4 linked regions of the Yarrowia lipolytica genome follow. The protein of the gene in region 1 purifies or fractionates together with the protein of each later gene. This does not show direct contact. Links are inferred from orthologs where the notes say so. Each region holds a gene or a part of one and is shown in the gene's direction. Other genes may lie near its edges.

Region 1 (10,637 bases):
CACTTTTTGCTTATATTTTCCTCTGTGGTGTCAAGAGAGAAAGATTCTACAGGGACAAAATTTTCGGTATCAAAATGGAGAGCCAGTTGGGAGGTTGCACACGTGATTTCCCGATTGGGAAAAGACAGTCCCGACTCAAGTCAGAATTGAGTCTGTCACGTGCTGGGAGGTTAGGAAGTGGAAACTTTAATTCGAAATCCAAGAGGGTCATAATCTGTCAATAAAAATATCGGCAGGAAAATAGAGGGATCTATAAAAATAAGTGACTAATAAAATAATGTCTATGAGCTGTCTTAAGATACAATTGATTATATCCGAATATAGAAAACGCAGCGTTATCATATTTTAAAGTTTATATGAACTTTATATATGAACTTTATATATTCAATGAAGGTGACCTCGCTAGGAATCGAACACATAAGCACCCAAGTTGAGGCTGCTGAGACGAGGTTAGGGGAGGCTCGAAACAGACAGAAATAAATATTATACCAAACATACATGGAAAGTCTTATCGAGAGTCATTTGTTTTCGAATCACCACCACAATGTCCTTCCAAAACAAACGAGGAGCTCTCAATCAAATCACCAAGGACGACTTTGAGGGCGGCGAAGGATACAGTCGAGACGAGCCCGTGGAGGAGGCTCGAACAGCTGACGCCGCTACAATGTCCAAGAGAAAGGTCTTGCCCTTGCCCAAGAGACGAGGCAACGGAAGCAGTGGATCTACTCCTAAGGCTTCCAATGGCTTTTCTGGACTGTCCAGCTTCGGTTCTGGAGCTTCTCCTGCGCCCCAGATGTCGTTCTCTTCTCCTAGCACTACCGGGGGGTTTACCAATACCAACACTACCAACAATGATTCAACATCAGATACTACATTGAAGCGTATTGCAATGAACGAGAAGTTCGTGGACACTATTTTCGCCAAGGTACGGGAGAATGCCGCAGTTGATTTGTCTGATGTCGTGAGCAAGTATCTCGAGTACTCTAAGACACTTGGAGGTGACCATGCAAACGTTGCTAACAGCACTACCAGCACCACCAGCACAATTTCTGCGCCTGTTACTACAGCCACACCGACTCCTGCTTCTGCCGACAAGCCCAAATCGTCGCTTTTCTCGTTTGGAGCTACTAAGAACTTTTCCGCTGCCAACACAGACACTGAGAAAAAGGACACTACCTCCACCAGCACTTTTACATCATCACCCTCCTTCAACTTTGGAGCTGGGGCAGCCGCAAAGCCCGCAGTGTCGAAACCATTCTCTTTCGGTACATCTAGTGATACCAAGGAGGATAAGCCTGCTGTAACTACTCCCTCTTTTGGTTTCCCTAAGGCTGACACTACTAAGGAGACAGACGCCAAGGACACCACCACTGCTGCCAAGCCCTTTACATTTGGATCTTCTACTCCTTCTGGACCTTCTTTCAGTTTTAACAAGTCTGGAGCTGATGTTGCCAAAGAGAAGACTGCTCCTTCTTTTTCGTTCACAGCTAAGAAGCCCGAAGAAAAGAAGGAAGAGAAGAAGCCTGAGCCCGTTTCTGTGGACTCCGATTCCGACTCTGACGACGATGCCATTGACATCACCAAGGGCCCCAGTTTTACTTTAGCTGCACCTCCCACTACCACAAACTCTGCTTTCTCTTTCAGCAAGCCTCAGAGCGAGGTGAAGAGCACAGGTCCTTCGTTCACCTTTGATAAGAAGGTTTCCAGCGGTCCTTTCAATTTCAAGTCCGAGACCAAGACTGAGGAGAAGAAGGAGGATAAGCCGGAGGAGAAGAAGGAAGACAAGTCCGAAAACAAGAAGGACTTCACCTGGAATCCCTCTCAGGGAGTTGTTTTCGGCAGCAACAAGACCGAAGAGTCTGCCGACAAACCCGCATTTTCGTTTGGAAGTACTTCTTCGGCAAAGCCTTTTACTTTTGGCGCTAAGGCTGATGATGCTGAAGACAAGCCCAAGCCTGCTTTCTCGTTTGGATCTAAGTCCGCCGAGTCATCTGACAAGCCTGCCTTCTCATTCGGAGCCAAGCCCGCTGAGTCAGCCTCTTCGGACAAGCCTTCTTTCTCTTTCGGCACCCCTGCATTTGGTGCTAAGACTGAGTCTTCCTCTGACAAGCCTGCATTCGGTGTTTCTTCCGGTAACCTGTTCAAGGGTGATACCAAGGGGGAGACTAAGCCTGCTGCTGCTTCTTCCACCGAGTCCGGTGAACCAGATGACACCCCCAAGACCGTCACAGACTCGGATGACCTGTCAGGACAAGGACCAGGTGAGGAGAACGAAGACAATGTCGCCGAGTACCGAACCAAGCTGTACAAGCTGGATGACGGAAAGTGGGACGTGTGTGGAGTGGGTCAGCTGAGAGTGCTGGTGGACAAGGACACAAAGAAGGCCCGAATTTTGATGCGAGCAGAACAGAGTGGACGAGTGCTTCTCAACTGTGTGGTTCGAAAGGAGTTGACGTACTCGACGACAAAGTCGAACGTGAACATTGTCGATTTCGACGCGGACTCGAAGCCAATCAAGTACATGGCCCGAATTAAGACTGCTCCTGAAGCTGAGCAGTTGTCAGCTAAGATTGAGGAGGTGAAGTAAGGAGAGGGGTTGACATGAGGTGATGTAATTGAATACGTTGTAACATATCCCATGATTAGTAAATGCATGGAGGAGGGTATAGAGGGTGCTCGTGGCATACAACTGGGACCGGCACAAATAGGTGTGTCCATTCTGTATATATCTTAGTGTTTACAACATCCATTACACTTTAGTGCCCTCTCTCACTCTCTGCAAGGAGATAAGGAGTAAATCCAAGGGGGATCGTATGGAATTTCGACGAGTATCGTGATTTTCCTTCGAGTCAACAAAAATCCCAACTAAATTTAAGTGTTGTTAACAACCTAAGTAATAGATCTTCTACAGGCCACACTCAGTTCCACAATAGCAAGAGAAGAACAAGCCATTATACTCGAACAAGAATGATAGCGATTGAATCCAATGCTACTGTACGTACTGTACTCCGATAACTTCAGCCTGTCATTCTTCCATCAAATTCTTCACTACATACAACGCCAATTCATATGTTACATCCAAACTAATGGCACAACGTCGTCATACTTATAGGCGAACATAATCACATCATACTTTTAGAGAGAAGAGAACAAAATAGAAAGGCAACATGGGGATATTATGACATCAATCAACTCCTCCAGAGGAGCTGATCAAGACTATATAATTTTGATCCCTCTATTCTCTCTACAAATCCCTCTACACTCCCCCCCCTTTTTCTTCCCCTCATGTATGATCTCAACGGCAATACCATAACATAATAGCTGAGGTTACAACCAGTACGTAGCAGCTAACACCGCGACGATATAAGAGGCCACAGACACCCGAAATGAATGTTTTTTTTTTTTGCACCCCTTCAGTAACAGCACGTGCCCACACGACACCTCACGTGACCCATTTGCACCCCCTTGCACCTCGCCACCGCCACCATGCAGTCCAACCTAGATCTGCTATCGCCGATAATCTCTCTCCACTACAACCACCTCAGCATGGACGAAACACAAGAATTGCAGCTGGTCAACGCGGTGGATCTGCGGATCACAATGGCCAAAGAGGACAAACTGGGCGAGACGATCGGCGTCTATCTGGTGCCTCTGTTGACCAAGCTGGCGTCCAAAAACGTGTCAGTGCGACAAAAGGTGGTTGAAATGTGCCAGCATATCAACACGCGAATCAAGAACACGACATTCAAGTTGCCTGTCGACGCCTTGGTCAAACAGTTTGTCGAGAGTGACAGTGAACTTATCAGAAATTTCGATCTCATGTACATTGAAATGGGTATTGCCAGAATGGGTGATGATGTGAGTATTGTGGGGCGATAACTCCTTCAAAGGGTTAACAACCCGCTGCTATTTATGGGCTACAGACAGTTTGCGGACCCCATAATGATACAGACAGGTGGTGGTTCCACAACTCAATTGTGTGCCACACTGACATCAATGTCTGATCTGATATATGATACGATGGTGAAACAACAGATGTCTAGTTTAAATGTGATCTTGAAGATCCATGAAATCTAACGGAATGAATGCGTTAAAGCTAGGGTTTCCTAATACTATCCAAGCAACATGGCTTTCAGACCATGTCACTATCTGCAGCTATGATCTTTAGCAACACTTCCAGATACAACCTGCTCTTGTCTTTCATCCTCTACGGCCACTCATTACCGTTACTAACCCAGAAATCTACCCTCATCATTCCCCTTATCTCCTCAATTTCCACCCTCTCCTACAACCACTCCAAAGCGGTCTTCCGCATCCTACTTAAACTCCTCCCCTTCATGACCTACCCTCCCCGAGGATCCACTGAAGCAGACAAGTTTCGTGAAACCCTTGACGTCAACGACAACGACATTGCGTACCTCGCTCTTCGCTTCACAGACGTGTTCAATTTCTCTGCCACCAAGAGAACCGGAATGACCATCAGAGAATACGAGTTTCTGTCAGCCGAAGAATGCACCACTGCCGTCAAGAGTCACCTGCTCAAATTCATTAGTGCGTTGTTTACAGACACAGAGTCGTACATTCCTCTGTTGTGTGCGTCTACAGACGGCAGTTCAGCCATTGGAGAGCCAGCTAACGACGCCTGGAAGAAACTCCAGGTAGATTTGGAGTCCGAGATGCTTACTAACCAGCTCTATCAGCTTCTCCTCGGGTACAATGGATCTTCCCCTGTGAAGCAAACGACTCAGGCAAAGATTCTCGCGGCTCTGTGTCATTCGGTGCATGCTGCCAACGTCGATGACGCCTTCAGAGCCATCCAGTACTTCACCCAGACTGATTTCTACTCTCGAGCTGCAATCATCCAGTTTGTTAATTGGATTGTGAAGCATTCCAATGAAGAGCTGTTTTTGCGCCACTCTGGAGACCTTCTCGAGCGTGTTACTCACCTTGGAAACGATGCCAAGACCGCCGAGTCAGCACAGGAGCTCATGGGCGGTATCCTGCGTCGAGACTCTCGTCTGCTGAGTAACATTTCTCACGTGACGTTCCTATTTGACCGGAAAGCAGGTGACTCTTTGTCAGAGCTCATCAATCCGCTGGCAAAGTACCCCGAGACAGCTGAGAAACTGATTCCCCACCTGTCTCGGTACATCAGCCACCAGGCGACTCAATTTATGGCTGCTAAGTACGCAACTCGAGTCTTCCCCTATTCAAGCGCTCATGCGCGCTTCCTTTGTCTTGTTGGCCTTACTTTTGGCCGGACAGACATGCTTGAGGAGTGTAATCGGGGACTGAACCCTTACTGGATGCGAGCTGTTAATGTTCCATACATCACCAGCCATGATTCGCTCGACGTGATCAAGGGAACTTCGGATTCGGACATTTTCCAGTTTCCCGATGTGTTTGAGTTATGTAAACTGATCCACGAGTCGAAATTTGATCTCAAAAAGGCCGCAGAGTGGATGTTTCCCTACCTGGTTCGGTTAACTGTGGCTACAGCTATCCAGGGTCATGACACTGTTTGTGTGGTTGATGAACAGTGGGAAACACGTGTGGATGAAGCTCTGAAGAGTGATGATCACGTGAGAAAGCTCGTTATTGAGTATCTGAGCAAGACCGACATTTCTCCTATTCTAGATATCATTTCCACTCATCAGACCTTCTCCACTCTTCCTGAAGTGTCACTGGAGCTCTACTATTCCCTGGTTTCTCTGTCTACCAAGTCATACAATGTCTTTGATGCCAACAACAGCGTGGTTCAGCTTGCTCTGACCTCTCCCTACTACAAGATTCAGTCCCACGCTGCTCGTGTGATTGGCCTGGAGCAGAGCGAAGAGGTGGCTCATAATCTAATTGCTCAGTGTTTCAACCACGTGCCAAAGAACGTTGATGGACCCATTCTCGTTTTTTCCAACCTGGTTTCTTTCCTGTCTGAGTCAGACATCTCCTCCGCGCTGGAGATTTGTTCCACTCATATCGATATGGAGTCCGTTCAGACTTTCTTGAGTGAGATGAAACTGCACAGAATCTCTCTCGACAACTGGAGCCGTCTCGATGATGTCAAAAAGAAGACTCTGGTCAAGCCCACCGAGCATTCTGTGCTTGCATTTGCTTATCTCAACTTGGACAGTCCTGATTTTGAGTCCAATGTTGATAAGATCTTTGCCATTGAGTCAAAGCAGATGGATTTTGCCTTCTTCACCGGTGAGGCACTTTGTGTGCTTGCTGCTGGGTGGGAGACTAAGTTCGTCAAGCGAAAGATGTGGAAGATTGCAGATAAGCTGCCTGTGAGTTCCCTGGCAGAGGAGCGAGTGAGCCAGCTGACTACCAGACTGATCAACATGGCAAAGACGGTGACCAAGCCTTCTCTGCGGAAGAGTACCGCCATATGGCTTCTTTCTGTGGTCCAGTACTGTGGTCATATGATCCATGCCCTTCTTCCTCAGTTGCAGCTTGCTTTCATGCGATTTTTGCCTGAAAAAGACGACATTGTCCAGGAGGCTGCTTCCCGAGGATTGTCTCTTGTTTTCGAGCAGGGAGACTCTCGATTGCAGAAGGATCTGGTTGAGAATCTTGTCTCCTCATTCGTCACCGATAAGTCGTCTCACAACCAAAAGGTGCATCAAGAAACCGAACTTTTCGAGCCTGGAGTTCTCAATACCAACGACGGATCGATTTCCACTTACAAGGATATTCTTTCGCTTGCTTCTGAAGTCGGAGATCCCTCTCTCGTGTACCGATTCATGTCTCTGGCTAATCACGCGTCTCTCTGGTCCTCCAGAAAGGGCATTGCGTTTGGTCTGGGTAACATCTTTGCCAAGGCTTCGCTCGAACAGCAGCTGGCCGACAACCCTGCTCTTGGAAACACTCTCATTCCCAAATTGTACCGGTACAAGTTTGATCCTAGTACTGGACAAGTCATGGCCAACATTTGGAAGATGTTGATTGGCGAGTCTTCCACTAAGACGGTGAATTCCCATTTCGAGAGCATCCTCAAGGAGCTGCTCTCTTCCATTTCTTCCAAGGAGTGGCGAGTTCGACAGGCTTCTTCGGCTGCTCTTTTGGACCTACTTCAGGGTAGACCCATCTCTCAGTATCTCGATCATTTGTCCGAAATATGGACAGCTTGTTTCCGAGTCGTTGACGATATCAAAGAGAGTGTTAGAACTGCCGGTCTTGGTCTCACACGTGGCCTGACTACTGCTCTTGTTCGGTCTCTGGAAAGTGACTCCATTTCAGACGCTACTGCAAAGCAGGTGCTGGACCAGATTATTCCTTTCCTGCTCGGAAACTCCGGTCTGCAATCGTCAGCTGAAGAGGTCCAGCATTTCTCTCTGGATGTGTTGCTTCAGCTGATCAAGAAGGGCGGTTCTAGACTGAAGCCTTTTATTCCAGATCTTCTCTCCGAGTTTGTAGAGTTGTTATCCACCCTCGAACCGCAGGCAATGAACTACATTGCTCTAAACGCCGACAAATATGGAACGACTGCCAACGACATTGACTCGTCGCGCCTGGCTGCTGTGCGTCACTCCCCCATGATGGACTCCATTGAGGAGATTATCGACCTCTGTGACGCCGATCTGATGAAGAAGATTGTTCCTAAGCTGACTCTGTCAATAAGAAAATCGGTTGGGTTGCCCTCCAAGGTTGCTGGTTCGCGAATCATTGTTACCTTGACTATTAGAAAGACCCAGCTGTTCAAACCCTACGCTGGTCCACTTCTCGTCAAGTCAGCCATTCCCAGCATTTACGATCGAAACGAGACTGTGTCCAGATCGTACCTTGCTGCCTGTGGCTACCTGTGTCGTTTGGCGGACGACGAATCCGTTCTGAGCTACATTACTGAGTTGCAGAACCTGTACTTTGGAGAAATCCAAAAAGGTACTCTTGAACGAGCTCGAATCTCAGCTGCTATTGGAGTGAAGGAGATCGCTGCTCATGCCGCTGACAAGTTTGACTCGTTGTCAGCCTCCTTGTTGCCCCTCATATTTGTAGGCAAACACGATTCAGATCCTGCTGTCCAGGATGTGTTTACCAACATTTGGAATAACAACACTGGAGGCAAAGGGGCCATTTCTCTGCACATTAAGGAGATTATCGCTCTGGTTTCGCCCCATTTGTCTTCTCAGCAGTGGAACATCAAACAGATTGCTGCTACTTCCATTGCAGATGCTTGCAATTCTGTGGGTAAAAACGTTCTGAATGATGAGCTCTTCGAGGTGATGATCTCTGCTTGCCAGGGTAAGAGCTGGACTGGGAAAGAGGCTGTGTTTGACGCTCTTGTCTCTCTGGCCATCAAGTTCAACCTCCACGATGCCGTTGTTGATAAGGTGGTGACCACTGAAATCAAGCGAAAGAACCGAGAGTACCAGATTCTTGCGCTCAAGTCTGCGTCTAGGTATCTCGGCCACTTCCCATCGAAGCAGCTGTTTGATATTTTCTCTGACATTTGTTCTCTTTACCTCCTCTCCAAGTCGGACTTAGAAGACGTGGATATGGATTCTGATGATGAGGAGGAGCTCCTTAAATCCCAGAGTGAGGACAGAAGAAACGCCATTCTGGGCACTGCTATCAGAGCTCTGTCGATTGAGAGCACCGACGAGGACGTTTCTTTCCTGTCATCCTACTTTTCTCAGGTTTCCGAGTGGATCCAGCTTGCTTTGACTCCTCCCAAGAATCTGAACAAGCTGGCCACTAAGAAGTCTGTAGATCCTACATGGAAGACAAAGTTGTGTATTTCGCAGGCTCTGTATTCCGTTGTTATTGGTTTCTTCGGCCAGGAGAAGCCTGCTGGGTTTGAGAAGCAGTTCCTGGAGATTTGGACCCTGGTTGCTGATACTTGTTTGCTGACTACTAATTTGGACAAAACCAAGGTGGAGGTGTGTAAACTTGGGCAGGCTGTTTTGAACTCGAAGATGAGTGATGCAAGTAAGGAGAAGGTGAGAGAGGTGCTGGTATTGGCGGAGGAGCATGAGCAGTCGTTGATTGTCAAGGCTGAGCTCGGGAGAGTTCTGAAGAGCATCTGAACGAGGAAATCCGACCCTGTTGGTGATGTCAAATTAAATTGATTGCATCAGATGTATTATGATTAGATAGAATAAATTGATTAGATGTATTTTTCATTATTTTGTAATTACATAATACTGTATATTGTATGTATTCCACCTATTCGTTTAGTTAGTATTTAGTTGACATTTAATTAATTCTAATTAGTTAAGGTTACAATTATGGTGGGGATTTAGTTGGGATGATGGTTGAGATGAGGGAAGCAGAATGGTCTGCTCTAGACAGCCTCCCTCGCCGCTAGAACTGACATATAGATTTCTGGTGCATTATGTAACCGATAGAGAAATTCCAGGTTCTCCTCCATGTCTTCAATGCTCAACCACACTTAGTTTGCCACTCCGCGGTCATGCCGAGGTATGTTAAATGTTACATGAGTATGTCCGCTGTGTAAAGGGTAAAGGGTATAACCCCGCTGTTCTGTCCTACTGCATTCTCAACATGTTTCCCAACAGTTCCTTGGTATCCACTCTTGACCCGGTCTATGACTATTGTAGCTAGTGTGAGATAAAGGACTAGCCCTGTCTATTAGTTCCTACTAATGGCTATTCCGAGCTTACTGCATGTACTGTAGTAGAAATATAGGTCAAGTGCGAATGACGTAATTTTCGTTAGTGACACTGAATTTGATCATCAGAGTGTTTTCTGTCATTATCATTTCAGCGTGGCAAATTCATCTACATCTACCATTTCTCCCCCTATTTAATCCATTTTATACCGCAAAAATGCGTGCCCTAGCTTTTATCAACGCATCTACCCCACCTTATCACGTGGCGCACGAGGTGCATAATCGTGCAGAGCAAAGATGACGTCAACCGAGGGGGATGAGTGAGTAACGTGGGGCAGGGCATGTGGACGTGGACAGGGAGACATGTGACCAGCCCCCTGAATACGGAGGGGTTGTGTGTGTGTGGCGTGACTTTATGAGCAATTATGTCTCCCCACGTGATCCAGAACACGTGACCGGAGCGCCGTGGCTGCCTTTTCGTCCCGTTGTGGCGGTATTTAGTTCAATCTCTGATTGCTTTCTGGTATGGACATTTCCCGGGAGCTAATAAAGTAAGGGTCATTTGATGTCATCTTTGCGTGTCCCTTTTAGGCACTCTTTGGCCGTGCAAATGTTGTTAAATGGGAACCATGATTGGTGCTTATTTCCCGCAGTCATGTGGCAAACGGCGGTCCAAGGGCGGGCCACAGAGGGGTGTTGGCGTGGCTGGAGGCATTTGTGCGGACAATGTTATATATAGAGGGTTTCTCCCTCCCCATTTTCTCTATCCGGTCTATATTTTTATCCCTCATACCTCAATCATTGCGGTGTGATTGTTTTGGTCTTCCCCAGCTATCTTAAAGTTAAATGCGTTGATAAGGCTTGTTGTGAGATAACGTGCATACGCGTCACACACATCCATAAATAAATCTTGCTACGCGACTTTGACAACTTGTACACTTGTACACTTGTACACGACTCCCCCCAAACAAGACACCACACGCTTCCAAACACACGCTCCCAACCAGCCACTAGCCACCATCCCACCTAGTCACACACTGCCCAGACACAGAAACACAGACAAAGT
Region 2 (6,195 bases), on another chromosome or scaffold:
GGTCTTTGGGTGGATGCAAAAGGGCGATTTCAGAAGATGGCCTGTTCCTCGAGACACGGCTCCATCGAGCTTTGGCATGAAAACAGTTAGAATCACGTTTTGTTTGGCCTCGACGAGCCTCTTGGTATCCAGGTTCGCAGATACTCCCGAGGAAGCCACCTTGTCGATATCGCTCCACTTGTCTGCCGAGCTAGCAGAGTCTCCGTTCTTCTTCCATTTCTCAGCCAGGGCTCTTCTCAGCTTTTCGTCCGGAATGAACGCCAGCAGGAATTTGGAGCCCTCCTCATTGGCCCAAGGGTCCTGGGTCTGCAGGACAACCTCGTTGAATACGGTGGTGGCGATATCAAGACACCGCTGAAGATGGGGATGCAGGGGACGTCGAAGACTCGAGTTGCCGGCAGCACTCTTGTCTGTAGCGTCTCCAAATGCAGCAATGTAGGAAACAACTGTAGAACGCTGTCTGTCGTTAAGATCACGAGCCTTCTTGTCGCTGACCCACGCATGGGCTCCTCGTCGGCCCGAAAATACCCACATAATGTGTTTGTATCCGAAATCCTCCTTGAGAGCAGAGTTGACCATCTTAACGGCTACCTGCACGTATCTCCAGCACTTGTTGCAGACGGATGCTCCAGAACAACACGTTCGGAATTTGTCGTAATCGTCCATATCAATATCGAAGACGAGCTCCTTAGAGACAGGCTTAAACACGTCCTTTCGCAACTTCTTTCGGTCCTTGGGCGAATGTGAGTAGACCGCTCCGATCTCGAATCGCTCAGGAACAAGATCGTCGACTCGAGACTTGAATTCACGCTCCTCCGCGAATGAGTTGAATCGCAGATACGCACCGTTTCTCAGAGTGAAGGCAAACTCTCGATAAGCAAAGTCTCGTCCATTTCGGGGAGAGTGGTTGAGCCATCGATGAAGCGTCTTGAAGGGAAAGAAACGCGAGTAAAAGAGTCCGAGGCCCTCAAAATCAACCTCGGGGGCGCTAACCGAAGTCTCGGGTTGTCGCGTCTCTGGAATCTCAGGAAGAGGCTCCTCAATTTGTTCCATGACATCGTTCATGATAGCATCATACAGCCCCTGCTGTGGAAGTCGTGGAGAAGATGAAGGTGGCACAGTGATGTCAGTTGGGGGCTCCGCGGTCGATACGGGCGAAGAGGGCTCGGATACTGTCATTTGAGCTGTAGTATATGTTGCGTGGGGTAGGTGTGCCGATTTGAGATGTCAACTGTAGAGGACAAAAAAAATGAAGGTGCAGTACGATGCTAAACGCGTCTCTCCAAGTTGGGAATCAATTTAACTCCACGCGTTGCGAAAGACGTGATTAGAGTTGGGGGGTATTATAAATGACAAATAAGACATGGGGAGATATCCATCATACTGTACATTGAGGATCAAAAAGATATTGCTGATATATACATATACTACTTACTAAAACGGTTATATTTATTATAAAGCTACCGTTGTCTGTAAAAGATGGACTTTTCCAAGGATATTTCCTTCTATTAGGCATAGGGGACTGCGACGAGTGGATGCTGGCTGAGAGTGATCGCATGAAAACAATACTGTGAATGTTCCACTGAGACTAAATGAGAGGGATGCAGGTTTGGTTAATTGCCAGTCCTATTTGTACGGTAAGATGCTTGACTGTTCTCTTCCCTACTGTGTCTATATCTGTGAGGTTCATCCAATCCTATATTCTCAGAGAGCCTTGCAGATGTTCACTCTGCATGAGTCTGTATGGTTTGTCAGTGTCAAGTGTTGCACTATTCTCCCTCTGATAGTGTAAGCATGAATAAAAACAATAGATGGTTACAGATAGTTGTATAATTCTATGAGTGAGCTTGCCAAAGATGCTACTTTCTTTAATAGCATCGTGTGGTTCTGTACAGTGGTCTATGTAACTCCTTGCCCTGTTCACATTGCAACTTCGACACTGGAGCTCGTTATACAACCTACAAGCTCCTCGAGCTCGTGTTGAAGGTATCACATCGATCTCTGCCACACAAATGTCTCTTACAGCGACTGTTCGGACATGACGGAGGGAATAATGAGGTAGCTATCCATGACGCATGACGCCAGCTACAGTACCCACTGTACATACGGTATCATCGGCATAACGTGAGTGATGGCATCGACAGAGATATGACGAGTGATCACTGAAATTTTCAATCCCCATCTTCGCGTCCCTTTACTCCCCGTGTAGCTTCTCGTTTTTGTTTCTCGTTTATATATCCCCTTTGACGTCAGTTGCGCGAAATATTGTTTGAATCGAGATTTGCAACAAAAGTGCCCTGTGGCTTTGAACATAGCCATACCGTACATGATTAAGACAGAAAATGAAACCAAAATACCTGTAAGCATTGAAAACCTGCCCTTTTATTTCCTTTTCCACTATTTGACCAACTGTTCAACCCCAAATAATGTTCAACTAACTCCATTCTTTAGTTATCCAATTTGTTATGAATGTAATTGGGAACAATGGAGACATTTTGTTCTCCGAAAAGTAGAACACCTCAATTAATTACAGCAGCTAGCTAAACTTGTCATTGGATGTCATTATAGACAGACAAGAAATCATTGATATGAACTAATAGGTGGACTAGTTTCACCTCAAATGTGTTATTGCAATCGCTTCAGCATAACCCCTACAATCAGCCTGGTACCACTCAAATCAGCTTACTAATCAGCACACCCAACGACAACAAAGACACACGACTCCAAGCAAGTGTCTCCATCTCAAACAACTATCGTCAATCAATCTTTTGCCCTTATCATTAATCATTGATCAGACCCGGTCATTCCATCCCATTGGACTAAGTACTGGTACCAATAGCACTTCATAACCGCCACCTGCACGTGACGCCACCTAACCTTGCCACCTTGTGTATCTGCATCACTACTGACTCTCTGAGACCCATCCAACACCACACTACACAATCACAAGATGGATATCGTTCTGGGACTGCGAATCAAGGGCGGAGTGCTGGTTGCCACTTCCAAGGCTGCCACCCGAGGTATTTCCGTCATCAAGGTCGGTGACGACAAGACCAGAGAACTCAACCCCAACACTCTGATGGCCTACACCGGAGAGGCAGGAGACACAGTCCAGTTTGCCGAGTACATCATGGCCAACACTCGACTGTACGGCATCCGACACGACATTGAGCTGTCTCCTTCTGCCGTCGCCTCCTTCACTCGAAACCAGCTGGCTAAGGCCCTGCGATCACGAAAGCCCTATCAGGTCAACGTCCTGATTGCCGGATTTGATCCCAAGACTGAAAAGCCCACCCTCAATCTCATCGATTACCTAGCCTCCAACGTGGAGTTGCCTTATGCCGCTCACGGCTACGCCGCTTATTACACAATGTCGCTACTGGACCGACACTGGAAGGAGGGTATGACCCAGGAGGAGGGAGTGGTCCTCATGAGAATGTGCATCAAGGAGCTGCAGACCCGTCTGCCCGTGGATTTCAAGGGCGTCTACGTCAAGGTCGTGGACAAGGATGGCATTCGAGACGTCTCTGCTCTGGTCTACCCCGACGAGTACCCAGAAGCTGAGGTGACTGAGGAGCTGGAGGTCCAGCAGGGAGAGATCGCTGCTTAATCAGTATTGTTGATTGAGCATAGCGGGATCAATGAGCGCATCTAAATGAATGGACGAGGTCATTGAGAAACTGGCGGTTTGTGCTGAGCATTGAGCTTCCTACAAGATCGCAATTGGTAGATTATAACTATTATATTTTTATGTTAAGACGGTAACAGCAGTAGAAACTGATGACGTGCACTATGTTACAAGTACAGGTACTGTACTGCAGTATGTGTCGGCGACAGTCTGGGCAGCTATGTATCTGTTAGTTAAGGCGTTCCAACCTCCGGAGGCCGCCGGAATTCCTTGGACATGAAGTATGGTCCATTGCATGCCTTCTGGTGTTCTTCGAGTTCCTCGCGGGTAAAAAATCTGTTATGGTGCTGGCAATAATATGGGTCAACAACGATCATGACGAGAGAAGTATGGTGTGTGGTTGCTGGTGGTTAGTAATGCTGATGATGCAGTGAACAATGATGGTGCAGTAACAACTACTGTATAGTTGTTTGTTTCCAGTTGTTCAATTGCGCATCCAAGTTCTTTGGTTATGCTAGTTGCTGTTGATTTGTGTGTCACGTTCTCCTCAGAGAGAGAGAATGCGATCTCGGTACTGACGGGGATTGCGATAGACTGGTCCAGGGCGTATATGAGGTTTGCTTGTGGCTCTGTGGTTGTAAATTTCAGCTCAGTTATTGAAATGGTGCTTTCGAGTATCGTATCGTACGTCTTACAGTCTCTTGCTATTATTATGTGCTTCCTTCTGGTGAGGCTCAAAGGGTGGTTACTGTGACTGCGTCCCAAAAGACTGAAACGGTAGTAATAACCAGGGCTGTTATAAATATATCATTAGTAGACAAAGAAGATGGGTGTGTGTCTGATCAGTCGCCTACAGCTGTGCACCGCGTCGCATCCAACAAGTATCATGAAAAGAGGGGTTGGCTGTGTATCAGCGAGAAGATGTGGGGATGACGAACTTGGTGTTTACTGTATTGTAGGTAGAGAGCAACAGCATGTGTTCTAGAGGATTCCATGGGGTTTTTCATGAGACAGATATGCGACAATGGAATTGAGTATCGTTGATGAGCCTCAGGTAATGTGTGATGTATTAATTACAGCTCTCAGTGACGACTCGTATGGAGATGAGTTCCCTTCACCCGAAGTACAAGTCTCACAATTTCACGTCATTTACTTGATTCTATACTTTAGCAATATAACTCGGTTTGGAGTGGAAGCTTATTTAAGGTTCTAGAAACATGCATGCAGTTCAACACTCTTCTTCATAATCGAAATCTACAATCAGCATACAACGACGACCATGGATGAGCTAGAGCAGCTCGAAATCATCGCCCTGGTTTCAACTCTAACCCAGGAAATCAATAATTACACCGGCATTAATGACAAGACGCTAGCTGAATTTGTTCTGGGTATGTACGAGGAATCCAAGGGAGACAGAGATGATTTTGCAACTAAACTAAAAGCTGTTGGTGGCGATTTCCCAGACTCGTTTGTGGATCGTATGCGCCAGCTTATCAGTGATCTGCATCCGAAATACAGAGGCAACTCCATGCCTGCCCCCGTCAAGGAGGAGCCCACAGTGAAGAAGGAGGAACCTTCTGAGAAGCTGTCTGTTCTGACCATGAAGGATACAGCCCCTATCAAGAGCGATATGGGACCTGAGGAGGTCACCAAACCAAGGAATGAAGAGCGAGACAGGGAGTACAGAGATAGATCAGATCGTCGAGACCGTTCGAAACGACGAAGTCTGAGTCCAGATCAAGGAGAGCTTGACTTGGAACCCATTATCAACAAGGTATACAAGGGACGTGTCAAGAACCTGACTTCTTTCGGTGCATTCGTGACTCTGTCTGGGTTGAAAAACAAAACCGACGGTCTGGTACACGTCTCTGTGTTGGCAGCGAATCGGGTGGATCATCCCTCAGACGTGGTCAGTGTGGGAGACGTTGTATACGTCAAGGTGTGCAAGATTGATGGAAGGAAAATCGGCCTGTCTCTCAATGACGTTGATCAACAGACAGGGCAGGTAATGGAGCGTGTCGAGCGTTCAAGAGGTAGAGATGGAGGAAGTGAAGAAAGGGGACGAAGATACCAGAAACAGGATGAACAACCAGTCAAGAAACGAACTCGTCTCACTTCTCCTGAGAGATGGGAGATTCGTCAGCTGATTGCATCGGGTGTGGTTAATGCAGCAGACTACCCTGATCTGGACGAGGATATTGAGTCGCTACAACAAGAAGCTACGGTTGGAGTGGAGGAGGATGTTGAGATTGAAGTCAAAGAAATCGAACCGCCCTTTCTTGCTGGACAAACCTTCCAAAGCTTGGAATTGTCACCTGTGCGTGTGGTTAAGGCGCCAGATGGATCTCTCAATAGAGCTGCCATCAACAGTGCAGTGAGTGCAAAGGAGCGAAGAGAGAAGAAACAGAAAGAGAAGGCCGAGGATCTGCTTAGTCAGGATGCTGCATCTGAGACTCGTGATAGCAGAAACTCTCTCGATGTCGCGTCAGATCCTCTTGCCCACCACAAGTATGGAGCTGCAGATCCGGAATGGAAGCAAGCCACTATTGGTACAAAAAATACAGCAT
Region 3 (6,483 bases), on another chromosome or scaffold:
TTCCGGACAGCTCCCCGGAGCAGGTGCCCAAGCGGGTGACGGACTTCGCCATTTCTCCCACAGACTGATGGATGACCGACGAGGCTCTTCAGGATACACCCCGTCCAGCTTCGGCAACACCGGACCCAGTGTGCCCAACCATACCACATTGTCTGGATCTCCTGTTGGCCGTCCTTGGAGGAGAAAGCAGTAGTGGACGTATAAATACGGCCCAACTACCAGTATATATTTAATTAATGCATTCCTTCATAATGAATATCGCCGCCCTATAGTGAGCGCTGACGTGCAGTTGAAGTGTTCGTACTGCACAGTCAAAGACTCGTGGGCGGCCAGGATCTCGCCATACGCTGAAATGATATCTTACATGTTCTATTAATTATAGATGCTACCTAATTATATACCTAAATATAATCATTCCTACTCGGTATCTCTCTCTATCCTAAAGTACTACAAGTATAGAGCTCTCGCAGTCGCATGTACTAGTCCTCGCACAACCTCTTAAACCTCGTATCCGAAAATGAGCTCTTCGGCCCGCTTGGCGGTCCAGGACAACCAGCCCGTCTTCTCAGCGAGACCCGTTTTCTTGACTTTGGGGTTGGTGATGGTCTTGGAGGAGGGCTGCTTGAACACGGTGTTGGTTCCGTCTCGAATCTCCAGCCGCTTGGCGCCGTTGAGAGCAGGCAGCGATGTGGTCCGAGGCAGACTTCGCTCCGAAGAAGAAACAGATGCAGATGCTGAAGGGTTGGGGTAGAGGCTAGTGTTCTGCTGCTGAGTCTGGGGGAACTTGGACTTGATGGGCGAGTCTTGGTAGTCTGAGTCCATCATGCTGGCGTCGTGCGAGTCCAACATAGAGGCCGAAATGGCGTCAAAGTCGCGCATCTGCGATGGCGTGTACGGCTTGCAGCCAATTACGTACTGGCCGGCAAACTGGGTGCCGTCTTCGGCCAGCGCTCGGATCACAGACGCCTTGTTGTCATAGGTGATTTTGATCCAATTTCGGCCAGCAAAAACAGGAGGTCTGTTTCCGGGAGGAGGCCGCTTGACTGGGGTGGTAGACAGACCGAACGAGGCGTCGCTGGGCTCTACGTTCTCCATGATCTCGCCAAAGTTGTTAAAGTGCGACACGATGGACGGCGTGAGATGCTGGGGGAACCCGTAGACAACGACGGACAGGTTGCCATCGCTGCCCATCGCCAGTTTCCGGGGGGTGTTAGCATGGTTAAAGGAGGCAGTGGCTCGCAGAGTCTTTCGAGCGGCTGTTGGGTTACTGCTGAAAGTCTCCGAACGACGCATCCCCGATCCAGCCGAGTTACCTCGTCGAGCAGCACTAAAGGGCGATCCTCGCGAGTCGTAGATGGACTGTGTGGGTGGTAGCTCCTCCTCGGTGATGGTATGAGTCTGTTTCTTGGTTCCGGAGGGCTTGGGGGTGCCGAAGGACGAGCCTCCGACGCCCGAAGGAGGGGATTCTCCTGCCTTGGCAAGCGACGACTTCATTGTAGGGGAAGTAGACGCTCTTCTAGTGAAGCTGGCAGATCGTTCGGGGGTACGATCGCCGGCGTAAAAGGATGACTTCTGCTTGATGGCCGAGAGATGGGAGGGCACGAATCGTCGGTCGTTGGAGGTCCAGGAAGGAGCACCTCGAGACGATCGGAAGCCTGGAGTCAGCGGGGCACTGTGTTCTCTCATTTGCTGGTTACCGGCACCATAGCTGTTGCCGTTGGATGCTCCTCGTAGATCGTAGGCCGATTGCGAGTGCGACAGGCTGTACGAGGGGGCCCCTCCGTTGTTGTTGGCGGAAGTTGGAGTGGACAGAACGTCGCTGTTGAAGAAGGAGGACTGGGACTGGTTGAGCGACGCATTGCCCAGGGAACCAAACGACGTGTTACCGTTAATGGTGGACGTGCCAAAGGTCGACTGTTGGCCAAACGAGGGCTGGGCCTGGGTCTGGGTCGTAGAAGAGGTGCCAAAGGGGCCTCCAGTGGACGCTCCGAAGCCTCCAGACGTCGACGAGGTGCCGAATCCGCCGGTGGACGACGACTGCGAGTCGAACCCATTAAACTGACGCTTGGCGGCTTGTCCAAACATGCTGTGGTGCGGTTTCGTGTTTTTTTTCTGCCTGTGTTTGTTTGCAAATAAATGTTGTTGTGAACAATGTGCTTGTCACAGGCACTCACAGGGTTGGGACACAGTTTGAGTTGGGAAGTAGGGTCTTGACTGCCAGGTCGTGCTGTAGGTGGGTGAGTGGGAAGTAGCAACGAGTAGCAACGAGGTTGATTGTGGCACATATCGTGACCGAAAAAGATACGGAATTAATCCTTGCGAGATAGGAGGGCGATTGGCAGACTCAATCACTCTTCCGATCCGCTCAATCACCCCTCCTGGAGTGTCTGAACCATCGCTGTGTGTGTATCCATAACCTCTTCTGTTATGGTCAAAACAAGACCCAAGCCATATGCTGTATCTAGAATGCCGGCGAAGACAAAAACAAGTTTTGTTCTCATCAGGAGAAGTAGTAAACCAGACCCCATAAAAACCGGACCCCAGGACCCCTATATATAATCTTGTTCCCCCGCCACTCACCACATTCAAAGGGTCTTGCTTATTAAGCGACAACCTCCCAAACCTTAGCTGTCAATGTACCGCCACCACATACGACATCTGGTCCAGACACATCTCACACTCTCAAACGACACAATGACTCTAGAAGAAACGCTGGCAAGCGCCAAGACCGCCGGAGACAAGGGCAACCTCGTGGAGGCCGAGAAATTGTACCGGGAGATTCTCGATCAGAAGGCTGGAACCAACGAGAAATCGATCCAGATCCAAGAGTCGGCTCTCATCAATCTCGGCACTCTCTACGCCTCCAACAACAAGCCCCAGGACCTCGCAGACCTCATCCATACTAGTCTGACGGTAATGAGCGGCTTTGCCAAGTCCAAAACCGCCAAAATCATCAGAAACCTCATTGATCTTTTCGCCAAAGTGCCGTCTGACTGTATCGACCTGCAGATTGCCACCACACAAAAATGTATCGAATGGGCCGTTTCGGAGAAACGAAACTTTCTGCGACAAAGCCTGCAGACCCGGCTGGTGTCGCTGTTCCTGGAGAAGAAGACGTACTACGATGCGCTCAACCTCATCAATACCCTGCTCAAGGAGCTCAAGAAGCTCGATGACAAGATGGTGCTTGTGGAGGTGCAATTGCTGGAGGCCAAGGCGTACCACGCTCTCAGAAACATCCCCAAGAGCCGAGCCTCTCTCACCTCTGCACGAACCTCCGCCAACGCCGTCTACTGCCCTCCTCTCACCCAGGCTGCTCTAGACACCATGTCTGGTATCCTGCAGGCAGACGACAAGGACTATAAGACAGCATTCAGTTATTTCTACGAGGCATTCGAGGGCTACGTGGGCCAGGAAAACCCCAAGGCTGGCACTGTACTCAAGTACATGCTACTGTGCAAGATCATGTTGAACCTGGCCGATGACGTGGAGACCATTCTCAACAATAAATCCGCACAGGCGTACCAGGGTCGAGACGTGGACGTTATGAAGGCGGTGGCAGTGGCCTATGCCAACCGATCGCTCAAGGAGTTTGAGCACGTGCTGGAACTATACAAGGAGGAGGTCCAGGCCGACCCCGTCATCAGAGTGCACTTCAACGACCTGTACGACTCGCTGCTGGAGCAGAATCTGCTCAAGGTGATTGAGCCCTTCAGCTGTGTCGAAATCAACCACATTGCTGAGATCATTGGCCTCGACACCCGACAGGTGGAGGGCAAGCTGTCTCAGATGATTTTGGATAAGGGCATCAAGGGAGTGTTGGACCAGGGCAACGGCTGGCTATTCATCTATGATGAGCCTCAGACAGATAAGACTTACGATTCGGCTCTGGAGACCGTCAAACACATGTCCACCGTGGTCGATTTGCTGTACGAGAAGGCCTCTTCTCTCAACTAAGCAATGTAAAGTAGCTTAATGAAATGATGAAGATGAGAGGGTGTTATTACTAGTAGGAATAAGACTGGAAGTACAGACTGGAGTATTTTAATACTAATAGTGAGGTCTAATATTGTAGTTATGATTAATTATGCAAACATCTATTTCAGTCACCAGACTAATTCATCAGAGCAGAAGCCTGGAAAATGCACTGGAGGAACTCTTCCAGCCGTCCGGAGTCGACAAAGTCCCGGTAGATTTGTTGCTGGTCGTCGGCAACAAGAACAGACAGTTCGATGGCGTCGGTAACAAATCGAGGGTCAATGTGCCGCGATCTGACATAGACAGACAGTAGCTGAAGAATGACATAGGGGATGTAGATCTGTCTGAGATGAGACAGGTGGGTGTAGTCCTGTGGCCTGATCTCTTGGTTCTCTGTGTATTGTTGCAGGAGTTCAATGAGCCAATCGTGGATCAGCTTGTCGGACTGCCGTGCAATCTCGGTTACCTTATGGGCAATCTGGGTGTTATTCTCATGGGTTCTGGGGGAGTTCATGAGCTCTTCCCAGCTGTGCACGGCGTCCAGGAAGAGAATGAGATCGTAGAGCTGCTCGAGTTCCCGAGCGACAAGCTCGTCGAGCTCGTTACCATCGGCTCCCAGAGTGTCTGCCTGGTATTGCTGCATCAGCATGGGCACATTGAGACGCATACCAGCTTCTCGGGCAGCTCCGACCTTTCCACAAAGCAAGAACCGTCTGAGAAGCTTGACAGAGGCATCGATGGTCTCAGACCACATTTTGACGTCTTCAAACCACTCCACAGCCCGGTAGAGGCGCACATCGGTGTCTTCGACCTGGTTGTCGAACTTCACAGCAATGATGTCAGGAATGACGTACTGGGACATGCTTTCATCAAAGACACGCGCAACAGCAGCCTTGACACATGCCTTGATGTCAACTCCGTATTGGTTAGCCAGGTGTATCTGCTGCTCTCGTTCAGAGGGGTCGGAGATGTTGGCCAGGTAGTAAGAGTATTGGTCAGTGACATCTTCCGAGTCTAGGAAAGAAACATAGAGAGGAACCAATTCCATGTGTCCCTCTCCAGCCAGCCGTTCAACGTAGGCAGAGATGATGTTGTAATGGCTGATATCCAGTTCTTTCTGGCCTCCATATCCATGGCGAAGAGCAAGTAGAAGATGCACAAGAACACGTAGAATGATGGAAGACTCGGAAACAGCATTGGGCTGGCCCGTGCTAGCAGCAACTCTTAATGCGTCAGAGGAGGTGGACGCAATGGTCTCAATTGTGTTGTTGATGACCGCTCCCACAAAGGTTCGGATGGGGTTCATGGCCTGTCTCTTGACGTCAATGTTAGAAGACTCGGCCAGCAGTTCCAGAGCGTCCTGCATGGAAGACACGTGACCAGGACACACGAGTGGGATCAGAGCCTTAGTCTTAGAAGACACTCGGTGAGCATCATTCAAGGCCTGCTCAAATTGATCGCTGCACATGTTGTTAGTGTACGCCAGCAGTTGTGTCTCCCAGCTGTCGCTGACCTCCAGAACCGTGCCTACATCTCCTCCCAGGAAGCCGTACACGGCCTTCTCGTAGTCTCCGATAGGCGACGCAGCTACACTGAGACACATTCGTCGCCATAATGCGGTTCGTGTGGTTCCCACAGCCTTGGCGTCGTCCAGAGGATCGACATCAGTGTCCTCCATGGCTGCAAGTCCGCCAATGGCCATCTTGAGCGACAAGTTTCCGGTCTTCTCAGCCAGTTGACTGGCCTCCTTGATCTGTCGTCTTCGGATGAGATCAAAAATGGCCCGGAAGAGCTTGCTGTCGTATCCGGCGTCTTCTCCTGCAATTGGTTTCTTTTGTCGAAGGGGGGCATCGGCGTCCATCTCCGAAACCAGGGTGCTGGTGTTGCCCACAGATCCTCCCCCAAGTCGTTTTTTGGAAGCAATGTCGCTCTTGGTGTGCATCCACTTGGAGCCCCAGATCTCAATATTCTCGTGGTCCGACGGCGTCAGGTTGTCTTGCAGCCACCGGTTGACCAGAAACGTCTCCATCACACGAAGATGGGTCTGTTTGTACTGTTGAAGCACACTGGCGTCTGAAGAGAAGGGGAATACATCGGTAGTGGTACTGTCTCCCTCCACGTCCATCTTGTCGTCGTTGTGAGTCTCGGCAAACCGCTCTCGGGCCTCAGAGAGGGTCGCAGTCAGCTGCCAGAACCGGGCCTCCAGTTCCCAGTTGCTGAAGTTCTCCGAGTCCATAGCTTCTTCTGTTTCCTGGGCCGTTTGGGCAGCCAAATCTCGCGAAATGTCCATGAATCGGTCAATCAGCTCCAGAGGATTGTCCATCAGCGCCTCCAGGGCCGACGCAAACAGCTGATACTCGTCTTCCATCGCGTCTATGTCGTTTGAAGCGGTGTGGATTAAAAAACAAACAAATGCTGCAGCCCATCACTACCGCACTTTTTATTGTTTTAGGTTGCAGGTTGGGAGAGACGACGACGGGGTTAGGGTGTAGAGGAGCTGCTAAT
Region 4 (8,095 bases), on another chromosome or scaffold:
AATCGAATTACATGCACCGTCTCAACAGTATCGCCATAATGGGTGGTCGCAAAGTGTCTACAGTCTGGAGATATGAGATGGACCTTTATGATACATTGTACTAATCGAGAGAGTTCTTCTACAACTTCTGGTTACTCTGGTTAACTCAAGTAATTGCAGAACTACAATACCCAGAGGCGTCAACATATCAAACAGACCATTGGAAACCCTACACCTCCATCACCTCTCCCTACACATCCCACCTCCGATCTTCAACCATTACCAATTCCGTCTCGCTCCCAGTATCGTAAATCACAGAGAATTCATAAATATGTACATGCTGGCGATGGATGACATCGCTTATCGTCGGTTCTTTCCCTGGGGAACCATCTTGGGGTAAAGTCGCTTGGCGTGGAAGTTGATACTGTCCTGCTGCTTGACGGGTTTAACCTGAGTTAGAATTGCAAAACGAAATTAAACCGACCCTGTCGCCTCAATCATCTCCAACCCTTCTCCTCTCATACTCACACTCTTGCAGGCAGCCATCTTGAACTCCTGTTCAATCTCCTTGCAGGCCTCGGAGTTGACACCGTTGGATGACCAGCACGCCAAAAGTCGAGACAGAAGCTGCACGGCCTGGGGGGCCTCGGCGGTCTGCAGGTTCTTGACACGCAGATACTTGAGCTTGGGCAACTTCTGGGCGGTCATTTTTCGAGACTTTGTGTATGGTGATGTTGCAGTGAAATTTTACTGCATGTTGGAGATGCTGGTGGTTAGGGTTATTAGTCAGCAAAAAATGGAAGGAATCTGGAAATATACGATACGGCGGATAAACGGGGTCTATGGAGCATTGTCAGTTACGGCTATAGCTAGATTACCGACGTTTTTTTTTCTTCGGTTTCCCCCCCCCCCACCTCATTTCGCCACGTGACCATAAATCAAATAAGGTTTTATTATAGCGGTCCGGGTAACTTCCTATTTGAGAAGTCCCACTCAACTTGCATGGAAATAAATTTACACGGCAGCTCTTCCTTTTCTTCTTCTTCAGACACTTCGGCTAGAAAGACGGTGAGTAATAACGACACACCACACGGTGGCGAACGCAGCGAACGCAGTGGAGCGATGCAAAAGCTGAAGAGCAGGACCTCAAGGAGCAACCACTAACAACAGCACAGTTTTCTTTGCAGACGACACCGAAATGCAGATTTTTGTCAAGACCCTTACCGGTAAGACTATCACCCTCGAGGTGGAGTCTTCCGACACCATCGACAACGTCAAGTCCAAGATCCAGGACAAGGAGGGAATTCCCCCGGACCAGCAGCGACTTATCTTCGCCGGTAAGCAGCTCGAGGACGGCCGAACCCTTTCTGACTACAACATCCAGAAGGAGTCCACTCTCCATCTCGTCCTGCGACTTCGAGGTGGTGGTAAGAAGCGAAAGAAGAAGGTCTACACCACCCCCAAGAAGATCAAGCACAAGCGAAAGAAGAACAAGCTTGCTGTCCTCAACCTCTACAAGGTTGACGATGACGGAAAGGTTGAGCGACTTCGACGAGAGTGTGAGTCTGAGTCCTGCGGTGCCGGTGTCTTCATGGCTGACATGAAGGACCGACAGTACTGCGGCCGATGCCACCTCACCCTCAAGGCCTAAATGTATTGATTTAGTTTAGTATATTTATCTCTTGAACAAAAATCAACGCTGTAGATTGTTTAAAAATTTTCTAAGTAGAGCTGAACACCGCAGCGTCTGTTTCACGAGCGAGATACCGCTCAGTCTGTAGTTGTGTACCCGTACTTCATTCGGTCTACATCTTCGTTGCAATAAATAAAACCCATCATTGACGCTGGGTGATTCCGCTCATGCCCTGTTCCAACATGGGTCTCAACATCTGGCCAAAGGGAGTGGCGAGCACGTTTTGGCTGAGCGACGAAATGTCGACCGGGATGTCTTTGCCGGTCAGAAACTGCGACAGCTCCTGTGTGAAGTGGTTGCAGTTGTGGTCAAACAAGTTGTACTTGTCGGGGGTGTATTCGCCCCGAATCTCGTTGAGGTACTCCTGAATCAGCTCCTCAGGCACATGGGTCTCTCCCAGATCCACCACCTTGTCTGGAATGCCATGGTGGGTCTTTCCGGGTTGAGCGGACTGGATTCCGGCTCCGTAGTACCACTCGGTCTTGTTGTCGATGACGATTGAAGTGTGCCAGATGCCGTCCACCTGGGTGCCGAGAAACTGCTGAGACATGGACTTGGCCATGCCGTGCGAAAGATCGTACACATACAACTTGACTTTGTGGGTTTCTTCGGTCATGGTCCGCGAGTCTCTTGCAGTTTTGTGTGGGGTGTTTCTGTGTGGGTGTTAATGGCTGTGGACGGGGACCTCACCGCGTATTATACTCCCTGGTCGATATGCCATGGTCGTGTGGCGGTGGCGGAAACTTACCTAAAGCCGATCTCTTATCTGCGGTATTACTAACCGGTTAGGTGGACTTAAGACAGCTTGTGCTAACGGATGTGAGGCCTTGGAACAGGGGCGAGTGATAGCACTCGTCTTTCCATGGGGCTCTTTTGTACTATTCGCCATCACGTGCCCTAGCATCCGTTAATGTAGGCCAATCGGCTATTGTCGTGGTATCCACCTGGAGTATCGTAATTGCTGTTAGGTGGAGTATATACTTGCGGTAAATGCTGGTATGATGGCTGTTTGGCACTGCAGAGAATGTTCGAGAAGACGGGTGGCGACAAATGGATCAATTTGAGGGGAAAAGTTGATGAATAAGCAGGAGCACTCTGGTTTAAGCCGTTTATCTGTGATTTTCTCTGATTTCCTGCGATTTTTCCACTCTTCCATTCACCCACCTTTTTTTTTCTTTCCCTTTTTTTCCCTTTTTCTTTCCCCTTCTTTTTTCAATACTGTAATTCTTTTTATTTTTATAATCGCTTATTATCTCACCACGCGCCTAACCCAATCCAAAGAGGTTATTAACAACGGGGAGTTGTAGCACAAGGTCCATGTAGAACGCCATCCAGACTCGGTAAACAATGATCCACTATCAAAATCGCATCAATTAGACGTATCAAATCGGCCGACAGCTTTTTCTGCCTGTCCTCAGTTGTCATCTCCTCAATACATCCACCGTCTTCTATCGTTGCGGTAACACTCTACTCCACTGCCCTAAACAACGGCAACGAATCATAGAACCCCTCCATCTCGTAAACGGGCCAATAAAATGAGACCCCGAATTGAAAAAAACAATGAAAACACCGCAATCAATAGATATATCCACTTATCTCAGCCCCACAGCTTTCGTTGCGTTTTCCTTACTGGCACATTCGCCTCCCCCCAGCGGTCACGTGAGGTGGCAAAGTTACAGTGTAGGTAATCCACCCAACACTACATCACCACAAGTCCAGACGCCATCTACGCCCCAATCGCAAAAATGGCCACCACCGCAGCCCCAATTCTGGCGCTGCTCGACGAACCAAACTACGATCTCAAGACCCATGCCCTCGAATCGCTGGATGAAAACATCACCCAGCTGTGGGCGGAGGTTTCCGACCACGTGTCCCAGATTGAAGAGCTCTACGAAGACAAGGACTTCCCCAAGCCCGAGCTCGCGGCTCTCGTGGCCTCCAAGATCTACTACAACCTGGGCGACTACGAGTCATCCATGAAGTTTGCTTTGGCCGCTGGAAAACTCTTCAACTTCGATTCCTCCTCTGATTACGTCGAGACCATTGTCAGCAAGTGCATCCGAGAATATATTGAGGTGTCGCAACAACACTACGAGGATCCGTCTGCGCCTGTTCCCGACGCCCGTCTCGCCACGGTGCTCGACCAAATGCTGCAGCGATCGTACGCCCAGGGCCACCTGAAGCTGGCTCTCGGAGTGGCGCTGGAGGCCCGACGTTTGGACATTATCACCAAGATCCTCGAGACCGCAGACACCGAAACGACCGTGGAGCTGGTGCATTACGTGTTGGACTGCGTCGTAACGGTCGTCTCTTCGCGCCGGTTCAAGGACGAGGTGCTGTTGGAGCTCAACAATGTCATCCTGGGTCTGCCCCAGCCCGACTACCACGCCATCTGCAAGATCATCGTCCAGCTCAACAGCAGCGAAGGCGCCTCTCGGCTCTTCAAGTCTCTGTTGGCCTCCAAGGACCCCGACTCCACCCTCATTGCGTACCAGTGCGCTTTTGATCTAGTGGCGTCAGGCTCGCAGCAGCTGCTCAACGAGGTTGCCGCCGAGTTCAAGGACAACGAGACCCTCGCAAAGATCCTCTCCGGCGTCCCTACCTGCGACTACGACCTCACATTCCTTAACCAGAACAATAACACCGACACACAGATGCTCAACCGGACCAAAAACTCGCTTGACCCCAAGAGCTCCATGAACCACTCGGCCGTCACCTTTGCCAACGCATTTCTGCACGCCGGCACAGCCCAGGACTCGTTTATCCGCTCCAACCTCGACTGGCTCTCCAAGGCCTCCAACTGGACCAAGTTGTCGGCCACGGCTGCTCTGGGAGTCATTCACAAGGGAAACCTGTCGCAGGGCCGACGAATTCTCGCTCCCTACCTGCCCCAGGGCGATAATGCTGCCTCCGGCTCACCCTACACCCGGGGAGGCTCTCTGTACGCCCTTGGTCTCATCTTTGCAGGCCATGGCAACGAGGTGCTCGACTACCTTCAGCAGCAGATTGAAGACACAGCATCCGACGACGGAGGCGATGTTGTGCTGCACGGTGCCTGTCTGGGTATCGGTGTGGCTGGCATGGGCTCCGGAAAGGCCTCTCTTTACGACAAACTGAGAGACGTGCTGTTTTCGGACTCTGCCGTGGCCGGAGAGGCTGCCGGACTCGCCATGGGTCTGGTAATGCTGGGATCTGCCGACGATGATGCCCAGAAGGAAATGTTCCTTTACGCACACGAGACTCAGCACGAGAAGATCATTCGGGGTCTGGCTCTGGGCCTTGCTCTTGTCAATTACGCACGAGAGGAGTCTGCCGAGCCCATGATCGAGCAGCTGCTGGCCGAGCAGGACCCCATTCTGCGGTACGGAGGAGCCTACACCATTGCTCTTGCCTACGCCGGCACCGGCAACAACAAGGCCATTCAGCGACTGCTGCACATTGCTGTTTCTGATGCCTCTGATGACGTGCGACGAGCAGCTGTCATTTCGCTGGGTTTCATCCTTCTGCGTAACTACACTGCCGTCCCCCGAATGGTCGAGCTGCTGTCCGAGTCGCACAACCCCCACGTGCGGTACGGAACTGCCCTGGCCCTCGGTATTTCGTGTGCAGGCACAGGTCTCAAGGAGGCGGTGGAGGTGCTTGAGCCTCTGACTAAGGACCCCGCAGACTTTGTGCGACAGGGTGCTCTTGTGGCTCTCGCCATGATCCTCATCCAGCAGAATGAGAAGATGAGTCCTCGAGTCAAGACTGCCCGGGAGACCTTTGCTCATGCCATTGCCTCCAAGCACGAGGACCCCATGGTCAAGTTTGGTGCTGCTCTAGCTCAGGGTATCATTGATGCCGGAGGTCGAAATGTGACCATTGCTCTTGAGAACCCCCAGACTGGGTCTCTTAACATGAAGGCCATTGTCGGTCTGGTTGTCTTCTCGCAGTTCTGGTACTGGTTCCCCTACACCCACTTCCTGTCTCTGTCATTCAGCACCACTGCTGTCACCGGAGTCAACGAGGACCTCAAGATCCCCCAGTTTGACTTTGTCACCTCTCACAAGCCCTCCTACTTTGGCTACCCTCCTCCTGCCGAGGAGGTGGTTGACAAGGCTCCCGAAAAGGTTGCCACCGCCGTTCTCTCTACCACAGCTCGTGCCAAGGCTCGGGCCAAGAAGAACGAGAAGGATAAGGCTGACAAGATGGAAGTTGAGGAGAAGCCCGAGGAGCCCTCCTCCGCCGCTGCAGCATCTTCAAAGCCTGCCAAGGAGGCCAAGGTGGACGAGGACGCTGATAAGCGAATCCCCGGTCAGAAGAAGTGGCGTCTTGCCAACTTAACACGAGTGCTGCCTTCCCAGCTCAAGTATATTTCGTTTCCTGAGGAGAACCGGTTTGTGCCCATTCGAAAGTTGCATTCTGTTGGTGGAGTTGTGGTTCTGAGAGACCAGGAGAAGGGCAAGGGCGGCAAGAAGCCTCAGTTCATCAAGACGGTCCGACAGATCAACAATCCTTTTGATGATGAGGACGACGAGGCTCCTCTGCCCGAGCCTTTCAAGTACGTCGAGGAGACCGAGTAAGCATATTGGTAATGATTGTTGGAGAACCGAGCAAGGGCGTAGAGTGCCTGTAGATGGAGCGCACAAATGACTGGGCGTGTACACTGTTGTTGTGCAGTTGTAACCAATATATAAAGAACAGCTTGCAATGGAAGGTGCAATAGAACATGGAGTTGAAAACTAGACGACGAGAAAAGCGGGATTGAACGAAGTCCCTTCTATTGTAATGTGTTGCCACTGGTCCATGATATCGACGGCACTTCTCTTCAGCTAGATCCAACGTAAACATGACTACACTGGGCCAACTCATAAACGAGTCAGCAGCAAGACCCTAAGTATCAGCTGCCTGAAAAGGAGTGGCTCGGTGGCTCGTTATCTCATGTTCGATTCATATGAATCTGTTCGCACATACCGGTAAAAGTACAGACAGCATGTAATCAAGAGACTACTTTCGAAACGAGCCAGTCGCTGTTGGTCTTTCACTAGTAAAGAATATCTGAAGAGACGCAGTACAGTATTTACTCGTGTTCCCATGCCTGGGTACAAGAGATGGACCGATAAGCAGTAGCTCTTTTACTACATCTACGCGTACAGATTCACTTGGCCACTCCATCTGTCAGCAGCCGGTCTGCTATTACTTGCCTTGTACTTTTGCTCGTTCAATATGCATAAATTATCTATTGTCTCTGCTGAAATCTGGAGATAGCAGGAGACACGTACTCCTCCACATATCCCTCCTCCAGTCGTCGCTTTTTGTTCTCTCGCATTCGTCGCTCTCGCTCCTGAAGCTGCTCCAGTCGCATCTGCCGCTCGTCCACCACACCCTTCTTTTTCTTCTTTTGCAGCTCCTTGCTGACGGCCGTCTCCTCGTCGGCCAGATGGGGTTGCAGCTCGGGCATGTCGTCGTCCGACTCTTGTGCCCGCTTCTTGTTGGGCTCCGTGATCTCCTCCATCTGCTCTCGGGCCGTCTTTCGTCGCCGGTCCTTGTCCATGGCGATTCGTCCAATGTCTTCGGGATCCATGGTGATCATCTCGGGCTGGAGCTTCTGCAGCAGTGTTCGCACCTCCTCCTCTCGTCGCTGGTGTCGCGTCTGGTAAGGGTTGACTTCCAGAGCGTCAAAGTTGGCCTCTCCGGCTCCGGGAATGATGAGTGAAGAGAAGCCCTCGGAGTGGCCTACTCCAAGGATGTCTTCAAACGGCACAAACTGCGCGCTGCTCACCTTCCAGTCGGGATGCATGTTGTGTTGCATATAGGGCTGCTTGGGTCGAGGAGCAGATTGCACGTCCTTCCACACGGTGATGGTGTTTCCGTGGCCCACAGAAAGCAGGTTGGAGTCAGACCAGTTAACCGTCTGGGGCGCCACCTTGGTTCGGGGCAGACGCAGCACCTCCTTGTAGGTGTTTCTGATATCCCAGACCTTGACGGACGAGTCGGAGCCAGCCGTGGCCAGGTATCGTCCTGATCGGTCGACAGAAACGTCGTTCACGGGGCCTCGATGGGCCAGCATCTTGACCAGAGGCTCGTCCACGTTGGGCGACCACATGGTCACGGTTCCGTTGGAGTGGCCGAGATTCATGATGGCATTATAGGGGTTCTGGCACTGGGAGGTGGTGGGGCCCAGTCTGGTCTTGAAGGCAGCCACTTGCTTACCAATAGATACATCCTGGTAAAAGAGCATGCTGGTGAGACCCGACGATACGAGCAGGTAGTGGTAGGGCAGGAAATCGAGGTTGGTCATTTCGATCTGCTGCTTGAGTCTGTGTACTTCGGATCCCTGGTGGTCATAGATGAAGACATTCCTTTTCTGGGCCACAGCAAAGTATTGGTCGTTATGGAGCCACTGGACCGCACGAACAGTCTCGTTGAGGTTGAGTTCAAACT

What was found.
Region 2: the proteins of YALI1_C05088g (region 1) and YALI1_B15092g purify together in Saccharomyces cerevisiae (affinity purification with mass spectrometry; 3 studies listed by BioGRID, with this or other methods). This does not show direct contact. The link is inferred for Yarrowia lipolytica from reciprocal best matches to the Saccharomyces cerevisiae genes ECM29 and PRE1.
Region 3: the proteins of YALI1_C05088g (region 1) and YALI1_D11442g purify together in Saccharomyces cerevisiae (affinity purification with mass spectrometry; 4 studies listed by BioGRID). This does not show direct contact. The link is inferred for Yarrowia lipolytica from reciprocal best matches to the Saccharomyces cerevisiae genes ECM29 and RPN6.
Region 4: the proteins of YALI1_C05088g (region 1) and YALI1_F13395g purify together in Saccharomyces cerevisiae (affinity purification with mass spectrometry, with the first as the bait; 3 studies listed by BioGRID). This does not show direct contact. The link is inferred for Yarrowia lipolytica from reciprocal best matches to the Saccharomyces cerevisiae genes ECM29 and RPN2.

The regions. Positions count from the first base shown.
Region 1 is NC_090772.1:502,494-513,130, reverse strand, and holds YALI1_C05088g (uncharacterized protein), read left to right. Parts: upstream 1-3,546; coding exon 3,547-3,858; intron 3,859-4,238; coding exon 4,239-9,026; downstream 9,027-10,637. Other genes in the region: YALI1_C05125g (uncharacterized protein), read left to right, coding at 545-2,587. UniProt on the Saccharomyces cerevisiae protein: Stabilizes the proteasome holoenzyme, probably by tethering the 20S proteolytic core particle and the 19S regulatory particle.
Region 2 is NC_090771.1:1,505,958-1,512,152, reverse strand, and holds YALI1_B15092g (uncharacterized protein), read left to right. Parts: upstream 1-2,950; coding exon 2,951-3,610; downstream 3,611-6,195. Other genes in the region: YALI1_B15109g (uncharacterized protein), read right to left, coding at 1-1,179; YALI1_B15072g (uncharacterized protein), read left to right, coding at 4,908-6,195. UniProt on the Saccharomyces cerevisiae protein: Non-catalytic component of the proteasome which degrades poly-ubiquitinated proteins in the cytoplasm and in the nucleus. It is essential for the regulated turnover of proteins and for the removal of misfolded proteins.
Region 3 is NC_090773.1:1,141,635-1,148,117, forward strand, and holds YALI1_D11442g (uncharacterized protein), read left to right. Parts: upstream 1-2,634; coding exon 2,635-3,957; downstream 3,958-6,483. Other genes in the region: YALI1_D11406g (uncharacterized protein), read left to right, coding at 1-193; YALI1_D11437g (uncharacterized protein), read right to left, coding at 499-2,085; YALI1_D11479g (uncharacterized protein), read right to left, coding at 4,115-6,346. UniProt on the Saccharomyces cerevisiae protein: Component of the lid subcomplex of the 26S proteasome, a multiprotein complex involved in the ATP-dependent degradation of ubiquitinated proteins. In the complex, RPN6 is required for proteasome assembly.
Region 4 is NC_090775.1:1,336,177-1,344,271, forward strand, and holds YALI1_F13395g (uncharacterized protein), read left to right. Parts: upstream 1-3,417; coding exon 3,418-6,234; downstream 6,235-8,095. Other genes in the region: YALI1_F13366g (mitochondrial 37S ribosomal protein mS37), read right to left, coding at 340-429, 508-687; YALI1_F13373g (ubiquitin-40S ribosomal protein S31 fusion protein), read left to right, coding at 1,178-1,630; YALI1_F13384g (uncharacterized protein), read right to left, coding at 1,815-2,288; YALI1_F13446g (uncharacterized protein), read right to left, coding at 6,891-8,095. UniProt on the Saccharomyces cerevisiae protein: Acts as a regulatory subunit of the 26S proteasome which is involved in the ATP-dependent degradation of ubiquitinated proteins.